3 linked regions of the Oryctolagus cuniculus genome follow. The protein of the gene in region 1 interacts with the protein of each later gene in a pairwise test. Links are inferred from orthologs where the notes say so. Each region holds a gene or a part of one and is shown in the gene's direction. Other genes may lie near its edges.

Evidence for each region.
Region 2: the proteins of KRTAP26-1 (region 1) and GDPD5 interact in a two-hybrid assay, tested with the Homo sapiens proteins (2 studies listed by BioGRID and IntAct). The two-hybrid records come from large-scale screens. The link is inferred for Oryctolagus cuniculus from reciprocal best matches to the Homo sapiens genes KRTAP26-1 and GDPD5.
Region 3: the proteins of KRTAP26-1 (region 1) and CCNJL interact in binary tests that used the Homo sapiens proteins (3 or more experiments, as listed by UniProt). The two-hybrid records come from large-scale screens. The link is inferred for Oryctolagus cuniculus from reciprocal best matches to the Homo sapiens genes KRTAP26-1 and CCNJL.

Annotation. Positions count from the first base shown.
Region 1 is NC_091435.1:15,091,274-15,094,123, forward strand, and holds KRTAP26-1 (keratin-associated protein 26-1), read left to right. Parts: upstream 1-1,362; 5' UTR 1,363-1,417; coding exon 1,418-2,059; 3' UTR 2,060-2,321; downstream 2,322-2,850. UniProt on the Homo sapiens protein: In the hair cortex, hair keratin intermediate filaments are embedded in an interfilamentous matrix, consisting of hair keratin-associated proteins (KRTAP), which are essential for the formation of a rigid and resistant hair shaft through their extensive disulfide bond cross-linking with abundant cysteine residues of hair keratins.
Region 2 is NC_091432.1:66,621,905-66,626,165, reverse strand, and holds the start of GDPD5 (glycerophosphodiester phosphodiesterase domain-containing protein 5), read left to right. Parts: upstream 1-1,461; 5' UTR 1,462-2,140; intron 2,141-4,261. UniProt on the Homo sapiens protein: Glycerophosphodiester phosphodiesterase that promotes neurite formation and drives spinal motor neuron differentiation.
Region 3 is NC_091437.1:47,211,580-47,215,809, reverse strand, and holds the start of CCNJL (cyclin-J-like protein), read left to right. Parts: upstream 1-1,430; 5' UTR 1,431-1,480; coding exon 1,481-1,543; exon of another isoform or gene 1,544-1,788; intron 1,789-2,313; exon of another isoform or gene 2,314-2,482; intron 2,483-4,230.

The DNA of each region.
Region 1 (2,850 bases):
TCTGACCTAAAATACTGAGTAGCATTCACACATTAGTACAGGACTGCAAAGAACATATCATTTTATTTTCAAATCCCTACCTCTGATAGTAAAATTGTCATATATTTCCCATAAAGAAAATAATCTTCTACCTCAAAAGTTCTCTTCCTGGACAGTTGGAAATTCAACATATGTGGGTGTACCATTTGAACATTAAAGCAGAAGTGTTGTGATAGAAATTGACTTTTCAACCAAGCAGAATTGGAATTTAAACCTATCAGATAATTCAAATTCCATTAAAATAGTTGCTGGAGGGAGGTACTGGATATGTCAACATGAAAAATGGAGTGGGGTGGTTATAATATACCATAATTAAGCATTTTAAAACCATTTTTTCCAGAATTACAAATCTTCAAGTGTCTTTCAAAGTACTCAAACTTAAGAAAATGACACTTATTCTTATGCAATCACTTATATAAAGCATTTTAGAAACTCTCTTTTGGAAACTGACATCAGAACCAATGCAGGAGGCAAAACAAATCCACATGTGAGTCTGTGTATCTTACTTATTTTACCAAGAATGATAGCTTTCAGTTGTAGTATGAGTAATCACGAAACACATAAGTCTGGAATAATCATGTAAAATATCATGTTTTCCAGCTTTCTTTAAGGAGTTTTATGTGGATTTTTTGTTCATACTAGGATCCATAATTTTAATCGAGCCCAACCTCATTATCTATATTTAAGATCTTAAAACACAAACCAGACTTTCTGTTTGAGTTATTTATTAAAGTTAATAAAAAGAGCATTTATTTTTTGAACAAAGATACTTTGCTATGAAGTTAATCTGTACTGGGATTCTGAAATAAAGTGAGCACATTGAAATTTTGTATAGTTGTAGTAGTTTCAGCTTTTCCTGCCATTTAGATTATAGGAGTTTTCACCTCCCTTATAACACTCTTGGTTCCAAGTGACTTCATGTGAGTAATTTCCAAAGAGAACTGGATTTTCTTTCAGATAAAGAAAATTTGCCCCTGTTTAAAAAAATGATACAATTTTTAAAAACAATTCCAAGAGGGGGATTTTAAGAATTTGCCATGGTTATTGTAACTGGAATAAGTTCATAGCCTTCAAAAGTGTCTGTTTTGGTTGGATAATTTAAGAAGAAATCTTATTAAAATCTAGTCACGCAGGCTTCTCAATATATTTAATAAATGGAACGCATTGTAAGGAACATCCAATTTTATCGGAAGTAAGAGCGCTTCTTCCTGCACTCTAATGAAGAGTTCTGATGCAGTCTCATCCAACCAGGAGGAAGAGTCTGTTTACAAAACCCTCACCCTCTAGGGTATATAAAGGGCCAAGGCAAGTGGGGATCAGAATGAAACTTGCATTCAATTCTTTCCCTCAAACACAGCCTGCTCTCAAAACCCTCGCTATGTCTTGCCAGAACTACTCTCGCAACTGCAGCTCAGGCTCCCCCGGAAATTCCTGCCACATCCCTGCCTCCTCCTCCGTTGCCGGCTGCTCTACAAATGTGAGCTGTGGAGATGTCTTCTGCTTACCCAGCAGCTGTCAAGATCGTGCCTGGCTCACGGACAAAAGCCAAGAGACCTACATTGAACCAACCAGCTGCCAGCCAACCAACTGTGTGCCCAGCAACTGCGCAACCTCCTGGAGATCTTCCACTATTTACTATGTGCCCAGACCCAGCCTAGGAACCAGTTTTATTCCTGCTTCTTCCTGTGTCTCCAGCTCCTGCCTCCCAGTATCCTGTAAACCTCCGAGCTATGTGTCCAGCAGTTGCCGTCCGCAGAACACCCTGATCAATACTTGCCAACCTATAGGTAGCGTGCTCAGTGCCTACCGCCCTTTGACCTCTCTGTCCAGCAGCTGCCGACCCCAGAGCCTCCTCACTTATGGATGCCAACCCGTAGGTTACTTGGCCTGTGGTCCTCAAGCAGTTCATATCGTCTCCAGCAGCCCAAGACCTCTGCCGCCTCCATCCAGCGGCTGCCAACCTGTGACCCACGTGTATGGCACATGTCATCCATCTTGCTCTGTCCAGGGAGGCCAGTAGTGTGCTTGTTCCAGCAAATCATCATGCTGAAGACTCAGGATATAAATTCAAACTCCATGGACTTCTGGTTCTTTCTTAGTGGTGTCTGATTGCTGGTTGGGTGTTTCTACTATAGCTGATCTAATGTGATTTACTACTTTCACATTTTCATCTTTCCTTGATGTTAAAAAAATTGGTTTACAATGTGTCTCAATGTTGCCTGAGTGTGGGAAGCATGTATTTGTTCGCACTATAATAAACAAGATCATGTCAAAGCTAAGAATCTGGTTCATTGGTTTTCTTTCATTCCTTCATTCTGACACAGAAATGGTGAACCCAGACTCCTTATAAGATTTGTGAATAAGACAAAGTGCTGTGTAACAATGTGCTCTTACTGATAGTAGAGAGATGATTTGATGGTGTGATTTCTCAAGCTGTTTTTTAGACTTCTGATGCTATGTCCTTGAGAGATCCAGGAATCCTTGGTGGAATGTGTTTTGCAAAGGCAAGATGAGGAATTATATCTTTTAGCTCTCTCTTCCACTGAATATCCTTCCACTGGAATGTTTTTTCTCATTACAAACCTAACCATAAGCTTTTACTTAATCCTTAGATGACATTGTATGATCGATTCCCATAAGGTAAAAGCCCAAATCCCTTACCATGATACTGGATTCCTTCATTGTCTTCCTCCTATTATTTGATTGAATCCCCTTTTGCTGTGTATCAAAAATCCAATTCTGAATTACACATAGATCCCCAACATGATTTTGAAAATCATCCTTTTTGCATATGCCATCAACAAGATTAGG
Region 2 (4,261 bases), on another chromosome or scaffold:
ATGCCCCCCCCCATCCTCTGAGCCCTGGGGCCCACCCAGTCCCTCCTTTTTCCCTGCCAAGTAGCAGTATCTCTCTCTCTCTCTCTCTCTCTCTCTCTCTCTCTCTCTCTAATCATTTGAAAGGCTGAGCAAGAGAGACAGAGAAACAGGCACAGACACAGAGAGATCTGGGGCTGACTGGCTCACTCCCCAAATGTACCCAGCAGCGGGGCTGGGCCAGGGTGCTGTCAGGAGCCAGAAATTCAATCCAGGTCTCCCACGTGAGTGCTGGGGACCCAAGGACTTGAGCCATTACTTGCTGCCTCCCAAGGTGCACATCTCGGAACCTGGGATCTGAAGCAAAGCTGGACCTCCATCTCAGACACTCTAGTGTGGATGCGGGGGTCCCAAGTGGCCCTTAAGGCTGTGCCAAGCACCTGCCCCAAAGTCCTAAGCCCTCTTCTGCGGGTGAGGCTCCCGGGGCTAGAGAGGCGGAATAACCTGTTCAGGGCCACACAGCTTTGCCCTAGACTGCAACAGCGATTGGTGGATAGGATCGTGGGACTCTCCCGCGGCCTCTCCTTTGGCGGATCCCCGTCAGCTACAGGAGGTAGCTGCCGCCTCCGGCTCACGGCCAGGCTGTGCCACACCGCCTCCGTCCCTTCGCTCCCCAGCCCAATCGGTGTGGCGCATGTCGCCTCCGCGGCACATTCAACACGCAGTCCCGCAGTCAACCCCCGCGGCGCGGGCGGCGTGCGGGCCCGTGCCGGGCGCGAGGCCACCGCAGGTGCATCACGCCCGCCCTGGAGGTGAATGAGGTCCTGGCGCTCCTCCGCCCCGGCAGCACTGCTGAAACAACCGACACAACGCTTCTCTTGCAGGAGGGGCAGAGCTACGAGAGACCCGCGAGTTATTTCCAAAACTTATTTTTCATCGCTCCCCGAGATCGGAACATTTCACAGCCGTCATGTCTCACCTCTGCGCGCCGAGCGCTAGCGGCTGCGGAGCCGCAGGGTGAGGGCGGGTCCTGCCGCCCCCACTACCCGGGGACCCCCACCCGGGGCCCCTGTCCCGGGCAGCCCTCCTCCCCCGGCCCCCGCTCCCACCCCTCCACGCGGCAGTCCCCTGCTCAGATCCCAGACAGGCCAGCCCCATTCGCCCCCGCTCCATCCTGGTGTCCCCAGGTCGCCCCCTCCCCAGCTCGGTTCTTCCAGGATCCCCAGCCCCGCCATTGTTCTCCCGGCGACCGCGCCTCTCCGTCGTCCGCTCCGCCCTCCGAGGCGGCGTTCTCATCCCGCAGAGCTCCGCCCTTTTCCCACTCTCTGATTGGCCCCTGCTGCCGGGCCGCGCGGGGCCCGGGCAGGGGAGCCGGCGCGCGCCGCGTCCTCGCCCGTGGCCCCGCCGGGGGTGGGACCTCGTGGGACTCCGCCCCGTCCGGGCGGAGCCGCGCTCGCCAGTGCTCGGAGGCGGGGCGGGGCCGCCTCGGCTCTCCTCGGCCCGGCTCGGGCTGCCGCGCCGGTGGGGGTGGGCGGCGGGGATGACAGCGGCTGTGGCGGCGGCTGCGGCGCGCGGCTGAGCGAGCGGGGAAGAGGAAGTGGAGCCTCGGCCCGAGCTCCGGAGTCAGCTGGCGCGTGGAGCGCGGAGCTGGGGAGACTTCCCCGCCGGCGCCTGCCCTGCCCAGCCCCGGGTTCCGCGCCCAGACGCTCCTTTGCCCGCGGTCCGTGCTTGTGGCCGCGACGCCCGGGCGGGACGCTCCTGGCTCCGCCGTACGGCTCCACGCCTGCGGGTTGGTTGGCAGCCTTCCTACCACTGTGGGTCGGAGCCCCTAGCCCTCCGCCCCGAGATTAGCGCTTGGGTGGCCCCAGCCTCCGGACCTGGGCGCAGAGGAACCCGGACGCCCCCAATCTCGGGACGCCAAAGACCCGACCCTTCAGCTGCCTCGAATCAAGCGCTTCGGACTTGGAGCGCCCGAGAAGCCCCGGGCCGCGTCCAGCGCCCCAGGTGGGGTCCCGGCGGGCAGGACAGTCGGACTGAACCCCCGGACTGGTGCTGCGAGCTGTAGTCGCTGCCTCCCTCCCGCCCTGGGCTGGGGCTCGGGATTCAGCGCTCGCCCGGAGGAGAGCACCGGCTCGTTCCGTCCCGGCCAGAGCCGAGGCTGCAGGTGAGAATCCCTGATGTGGGGCAGGAGCAGTCTCCGACCTCATGGCCGCAGCACCGGGCGCGGCTGAGGGCGTGGGCGGGGGGCACGGGCAGAGGCTGGAACCTGCTCAGAGGGGGAGGGAGAAAACGGGCACTTATTGAGCGCCCATTGTGTGCAGGTCCGAGCCCCGCCCTATGCGCCTCATTGCTATCCCAGCTGGAGAGGTGCTGTGCATTGTCGTGTGGGCACTGACAGATGGGGGAAATTGAGGCTCGGCTGACTGAGCGACCCTGCTTTCTTCACTCGGGGTGGGGGGCAGGGGGAAGAAATCTGGGGAGGAGAGAGAGGAAAGGAAACCAAGGGGGAGGGGAGAAGTGAGAGGGCTGGGTAGCAAGCATGAGGCCGGGCCACCCGGCATCGAGACCTTGGCTTTCCCTGGCCAATCAGCTCCCAGGAAAGGCCACCCAGAGTTGAGGGCAGAGGTGGGACACTTGTCTCTGTGTGTCCAGGAAGGAGAGCAGCTGCTCCTGGCTCCTGAGTGCCATGCTCCCAGTCTCTGGACCTCTGTGGGGACACTCCCTGCAGAGCCCAGCAGAGTTGGGGGAGATGGGGTTCACTTTGCTCATGGGGACCCTGAGGCTCATGCAAGCAGGGGTGCCAGTTGCCACAGGTCCTAAAGCCAGTGAGTGGTTGGGCCAGAAACTGTCTCAGACACCCCCCACCCCCCAGTTAGCTTCTTCTGGGTGAGTGGCTGGCATCTGTCCCACCCTGATGTGACATTGGGGTGGCCCTGCGTGAGGCTGCTCTGAGAGTCTGCGTGGTTGGTGCTTGGGCCTGAGACATGTGGGCTGCCTCAGAGCCTATGACCCAGATGGCAGGTCTGACCTCAGTCCCTCCTGGGCAGGGAACCTGCAAGACTTCCCTGGCCCAGGAGCAGGTGGTCTTGCTCAGGTCTCAAGTCTGGGGGCACAGTTCCTGGTGTCTTGATTACCAGGCAGGGGCTCCTGCCACTGCCCTCAGGGGCTGTGCAGGCAGAGGAGTGTTGTGAGAGAGCCCTTGGCATGGACTTGGTAGGCTCTTGTTCTGGGTAGGGAGGCATGGGAATGTGGCCTTGGTCTGGGCCCTGTGGCCTTGGCTGGGACTAGTTAACCCCTGGGGTCAAGGGGAAGCCACCCTGGAAAGCCCCTGGGAGGTGGAGCAGAGTGGTGAGAGGTCAGCTGAAGGCTGGGGGCTCCGGTGTGGGGGCGGGGGCATGGGCTAGGGGAGTCACCAGAGAGGACTAAGGGGCTTGGGGCTCCCCCTCCCCCCGCCCTGTCTGAGGTTAAATCCTCATAATAATCCTGCATCTGAACAAAGCTCCTCTTTGATGAAATAGCTTCCCACCTGTGATCTCATTTCATGGTGTGGTGGGAAGAGCCTGGAAGTGGGAGCGAGGCAGAGCAGGCCTGGGACCTCTCAGTGGCGTCTCTGTGGCCCCAAGTCGCACCTGTAAAATGGGGTCAGGGCAAGCTCAGCTAATGGGGTGGCTGCCTGTAGCAGACTGCCAAGGGCTAGGAGCTTGTTGTGTTTGGCCTTGTTAGTACTGGCTAATCTTGGGTGGGAAACTGAGGCTTGGCAAGGTGAAACCACCTGCCCAGGGCCTTCAAATTTGCTTCGGGAGTGGTTTGAGTGCCAACCGCATACCAGGTGACCTGGCAGTTACCTTGTGGGCTAAGCAGCAGCCTGGAGCTCGCCTAACAGGTGAAGGCAATGCTAAGTCACACCAGGTGGGCGTGAGTCTGCCCCCTCCCCCGCCAGCCCAGTGCAGCGCTCTCCTTGAGCTCCTGTTGCTTCTCTAAAGTTAGAATACTTCCTTTCCCAGGTCAGTGAGGATTAAATGAGATACAGATACACAGTGCCTGGCCAATACCTATTTCCCTCTTCTGAAGAAAAGGAAGCCTGAATTTTGACCAGGAAGTCTGGGGAAGCATTCAGACTTGCCTTAGATTAGAATGCACGCTAAGGTTGCATCTCAGAGATGTGAATCTGTGCAGCTCAGTCTCCTGGGGAGGCAGACTCCTGTCTCCTAGCCTTCTAGAATCTGTCTGGAGCCATTGGCAAGGGGCTTCACATTCTGACACCCACCACTTACCCTGCTGGCTT
Region 3 (4,230 bases), on another chromosome or scaffold:
TCTTCACGTGGGAGGAAATCGGTCAGATAATCAAGGCTCTTCGTTCGGCAACGGTTGTTTTTCGGTTAAACCCAGGATGGTGACTGCCCCTTTACATGCATTAAATCATTTAATAAAACATCTCCAGCAGCTTGTGGCAACTTTTATGCCCAGTTTACACGCAGGGGTCCCAGGCTCTGATTGGCAAAAATCACCCAGCTGCTGCTGGTGATGGTGGGGTTCGATCCCAAGCTAGTGAACCTCCAAAAATATCCCAAACACCAGGAGAGCTCCCTGCCGCGCGCTCAGCAGGGTGCTTCAAGAAAGCGCCTTTCGGAAAACAACCAAATTAAAAAGACAATGCTTTTCATTCCTGGTGTTGGTGGGTTTTCCTCCACTGTAAGGCGTGGGTCGATACTTCCCAGGGGGCACAACTACTACCCCTGACTTCTGCGCCTTTACCATCAGGGCTTTTCTGGAGCATTCGTGGGAACGGCCCTTTTGGAATCCCATCTCCCACGGCAGAACAAGCCTAGAAAGAAAGAAAGCAAAGCAGGTGGAATGTAAGCGTGGGCTGGAGCGGTGCGCGCGCGAGGCAGAACTTTCTGGGGGGCATCCTTCCCGCGTGGTTCACGCGCGGTGCGCGCAGGTGGAGCCGTGCCCTGCCCCCCCCCCCGCGCGCCCCCGCCCACTCCCCGCCCACACCGGCGAGTCTCCGCGAAGGTGAGAGAAAGCTTTCCGCGGAGGCGACGGCGGAGGGCGGACAGGAAGCCCGGCCAGAGCCGCGGAAAGAAAGACTCGGAGTCCCAGCCCCCCGCCCTGCGGGGCGCGGGGCGCTGCTGGCGCATGCGCGAGGCCCGGCCCCCAATTCCCCCAGCGAGGGAGGGAGGCCCCCGGCGGCCGGGATCCTGCGAGCCGCGGCGGGACCCGAGCGCACGCAGGGGCGCGGCGGCTGGGGCCAGCCGGGCTGTGGAGGCGGCCGGCGAGAGCGCGGAGCGGGCTGGGTCGGGGTCCAGCCGCGTGCAGCCAAGCCAGAGGGCACAGCCGGCTCAGCCCCGGAAGGGGCTGGGTGCCCGCAGCCCCCCACGCCTGAAGAGGGATGCGTGAGTCTCGCCCCGGGCTGGAGGGCAGGATGTGGGAGCAGGACAAAGGCTGGGCGGCGGGGGAGGAGTTCGGGACGGGCAAGCGGGTGGCCGCCGCAGGAGCCCCAGCTTCGGGCGGAGGAGGCAACTTTCTCTGCAACTTTTGCACAGGGAAGATAAAAATTCTGCAAGTTGTTGCACAGCTCTTGATCTATCGGGGGTCCAGCGAGCAGAAGGGAGGGGGCACCGCAACCTTTCCGGGGCGCGGAGCGGGGCAGGAGGGGGCGCCCGTCCGGGCCGTGCCGGGGACCGGCGAGGATATAGGGACTGTGGGCGTCGGAGCCGCTGAAGTTGCCCGTGTCCACGCAGGGAGCGCTCCGAGGGCCCGGTAGCCGCGGATCGCAGAGCTGCTCGCGGGGATGGATGAGCCGTGGTGGGAAGGGCGCGTCGCCGCGGACGTCCACTGCAGCCTTCGAGAGAAGGTCAGTTCCTCGCTCGCGTCTCTGCGCGGCTCACCCGCGGTTTAAAGTCCCCTCGGATCTCCATTCTCAGGAACGCGGGACTCTTACCTTCTCCGGAGTGTCTGGGGCCCGGGGATGGGCGTGCGAGGTGATATTAAGAATCGGAGAGCTGGATTGGGATTTCTGAGTAGGAGCCCGCGGACAGCTCACCTCGAAGGCGATATTTCCCGTGGTATTGCCGGCCAAGACTATTTTAAGTGGTTTCTCTAAAAAGTATTGTGGATTCGTTTTGGTGAGCACGTTAAAGGTATGGATATATACAGAAAGGTCTGCGTGTGATAAGTGATGCTGACTAACCATTTATTGGAACAATGAAGTAGCAGTGCTTTAAAAATAAATCTAAGTAAGCGTAGTGATGGTATGAGGAAATATTAGGTAAGTGGTGATGTAAGGAATACAGAATTAGGACCATATGGGGTGGATATGAATGCCAGTCCCATTCTGAGAACCTATATCACTGGGAGGCCTTGAGGAGAAAACAAGAACTCCCCTGCCGGTGTGGGGCGGCTGAAATGTGATCCCTGCGGGGCCTTCCCCTCTGGGACCGGAGGGCTGGCGGGCTCTGGGAAGGTGGAAAAGTACAGGTGGGCCTGAGTCGTCATCCCCGGGGCCAAGTATGGGAAGGGTGGTTTGGGAACAGGTGTGGCATTGGGAGTGGGTTGGTTTCCTAGGCTACCATAACAAAGTACCACAGGCTGGCCGGCTGCTAGCTGCAGCATTGATCCCCTTACCCTCTGGAGGCTGGGAGTCCAAGGTCAAGGTGCTGGCGGAGCCTGCTCTGTCTGCAGGCTGGAGCGGAGAATGTTTCCCTCTGTCTTCTGAAGTGGTGGTGGTGGTGGTGGTTGGCAATGCTGGGCTTCCTCGCTGTAGCCTCTGCTTCTGTCACCACGTGGCTCCATCTGTGTGTTTTTGTCTCTGCTTTCTGGTCTTACAAGGACACCAGTCTTTGGGAATGGGTCCGCCCTAATCCAGTGTGACCCTATTGTAATTGAACTTGCTGCATCTGAAAAGACCGCTTTCCAAGTAAGGTTATGGGCTGGCCGAGGATCCAGGTGGGCACAGTATTCAACCTAGGACAGGGGATGGAGAGTCTGTTTAGACAGATCCCACATTCAGCATTTTGTATCACCAGCTACCTAGAGTCTTTTGCGTAGTAGAGAATGGCTGCCTTCTTCTAGCTGAGTTCATGCTGTTTCTTCTTCCTGTCTCTACTGATCTATCCCCGTCTTGTGTCGCCTGGCCAACCTGTCGTTTTCCTTTTTTTCGGTTAGTCTTCTTCCCAGAACAGAATAGCCAAGGTACAGCACATCCTGGGCATCTGGAGAAGAAATTCAGGGCTGGATTGAGGAGCCAACTCCCAGCTCCGGCCCTGGGCCAGCCATTGCCAGCATTTGGGGAATGAACCAGCAATGGGAACTCCCCTCTGTCTGTCTCTCTGCCTATTTCTTTCAAGGTTTTTTGTTGTTGTTGTGTGTTTGTTTTTTAATTTAAAGCCAAAACCCAGGGCTGGCATTGTGGAGTAGCAGGTAAAGCTGCCTATGACACCGGCATCCCATATAGGTGCTATTTCTAGCCCTGACTGTTCGACTTCTGATCCAGCTCCCTGCTAATGGCCTGGGAAAACAGTGATTGATGGCCCAACTGCCTGGGTCCCTGCCACCCATGTGGGAGAACCAGAAGAAGCTCCTGGCTCCTGGCCTTGGCCTGGCCCAGCTCTGGCTGTTGCAGCCATCTGGGGAGTGAACCAAAGGATGGAAAATCTCTCTCTCTCTCTCTCTCTCTCTCTCTCTCTGTAACTCTAACTTTCAAAATAAATAAATCTTTAAAGAAAAAAAATCCAGAACCGTGCATGGTGCTGGAGGTGGAAGACCAGGCACTGTGATGTTGGTCCATCTCTGGACATGGTGGCTAAATGGGATTAGTGAGTGCCACCATGGAAATTGGCTTCCTTGCTTATCATAGGTTGGGTGGTTGCCATTTCTATTCATAGCTTGGCAGGAATGACTTGGACCTGATTTGACCCTTCCTAGAAGGAAGGATTTTTTTTTTCATTTTCATTTTATTTGGAATGCAGAAAGACAGAGACAGACCCACAGAAGTTGATCTTTGATCCACTGGTTCACTCCCCAAATGTACAGAAGAGTTGGAGCTGGGCCAGGCCAGAGCCAGGAGCCAGGACAGGGGACTCAGTGTGGGTCAGGACTCAGACCCAGGCACTGTGATTTGGGAAGCGAGTGTTCCGAGCAGCATCTTTTTTTTTTTTTTTTTTTTTTTTTGACAGGCAGAGTGGACAGTGAGAGAGAGAGAGACAGAGAGAGAAAGGTCTTCCTTTGCCGTTGGTTCACCCTCCAATGGCCGCCGCTGCAGCCGGCGCACCGCGCTGATCCTGGCAGGAGCCAGGAGCCAGGTGCTTTTTCCTGGTCTCCCATGGGGTGCAGGGCCCAAGCACCTGGGCCATCCTCCACTGCACTCCCTGGCCATAGCAGAGAGCTGGCCTGGAAGAGGGGCAACCGGGACAGAATCCGGCGCCCCAACCGGGACTAGAACCCGGTGTGCCGGCGCCGCAAGGTGGAGGATTAGCCTATTGAGCCACGGTGCCGGCTTCCGAGCAGCATCTTAACCACGCACCAGATGTTCTCCCTACGGGG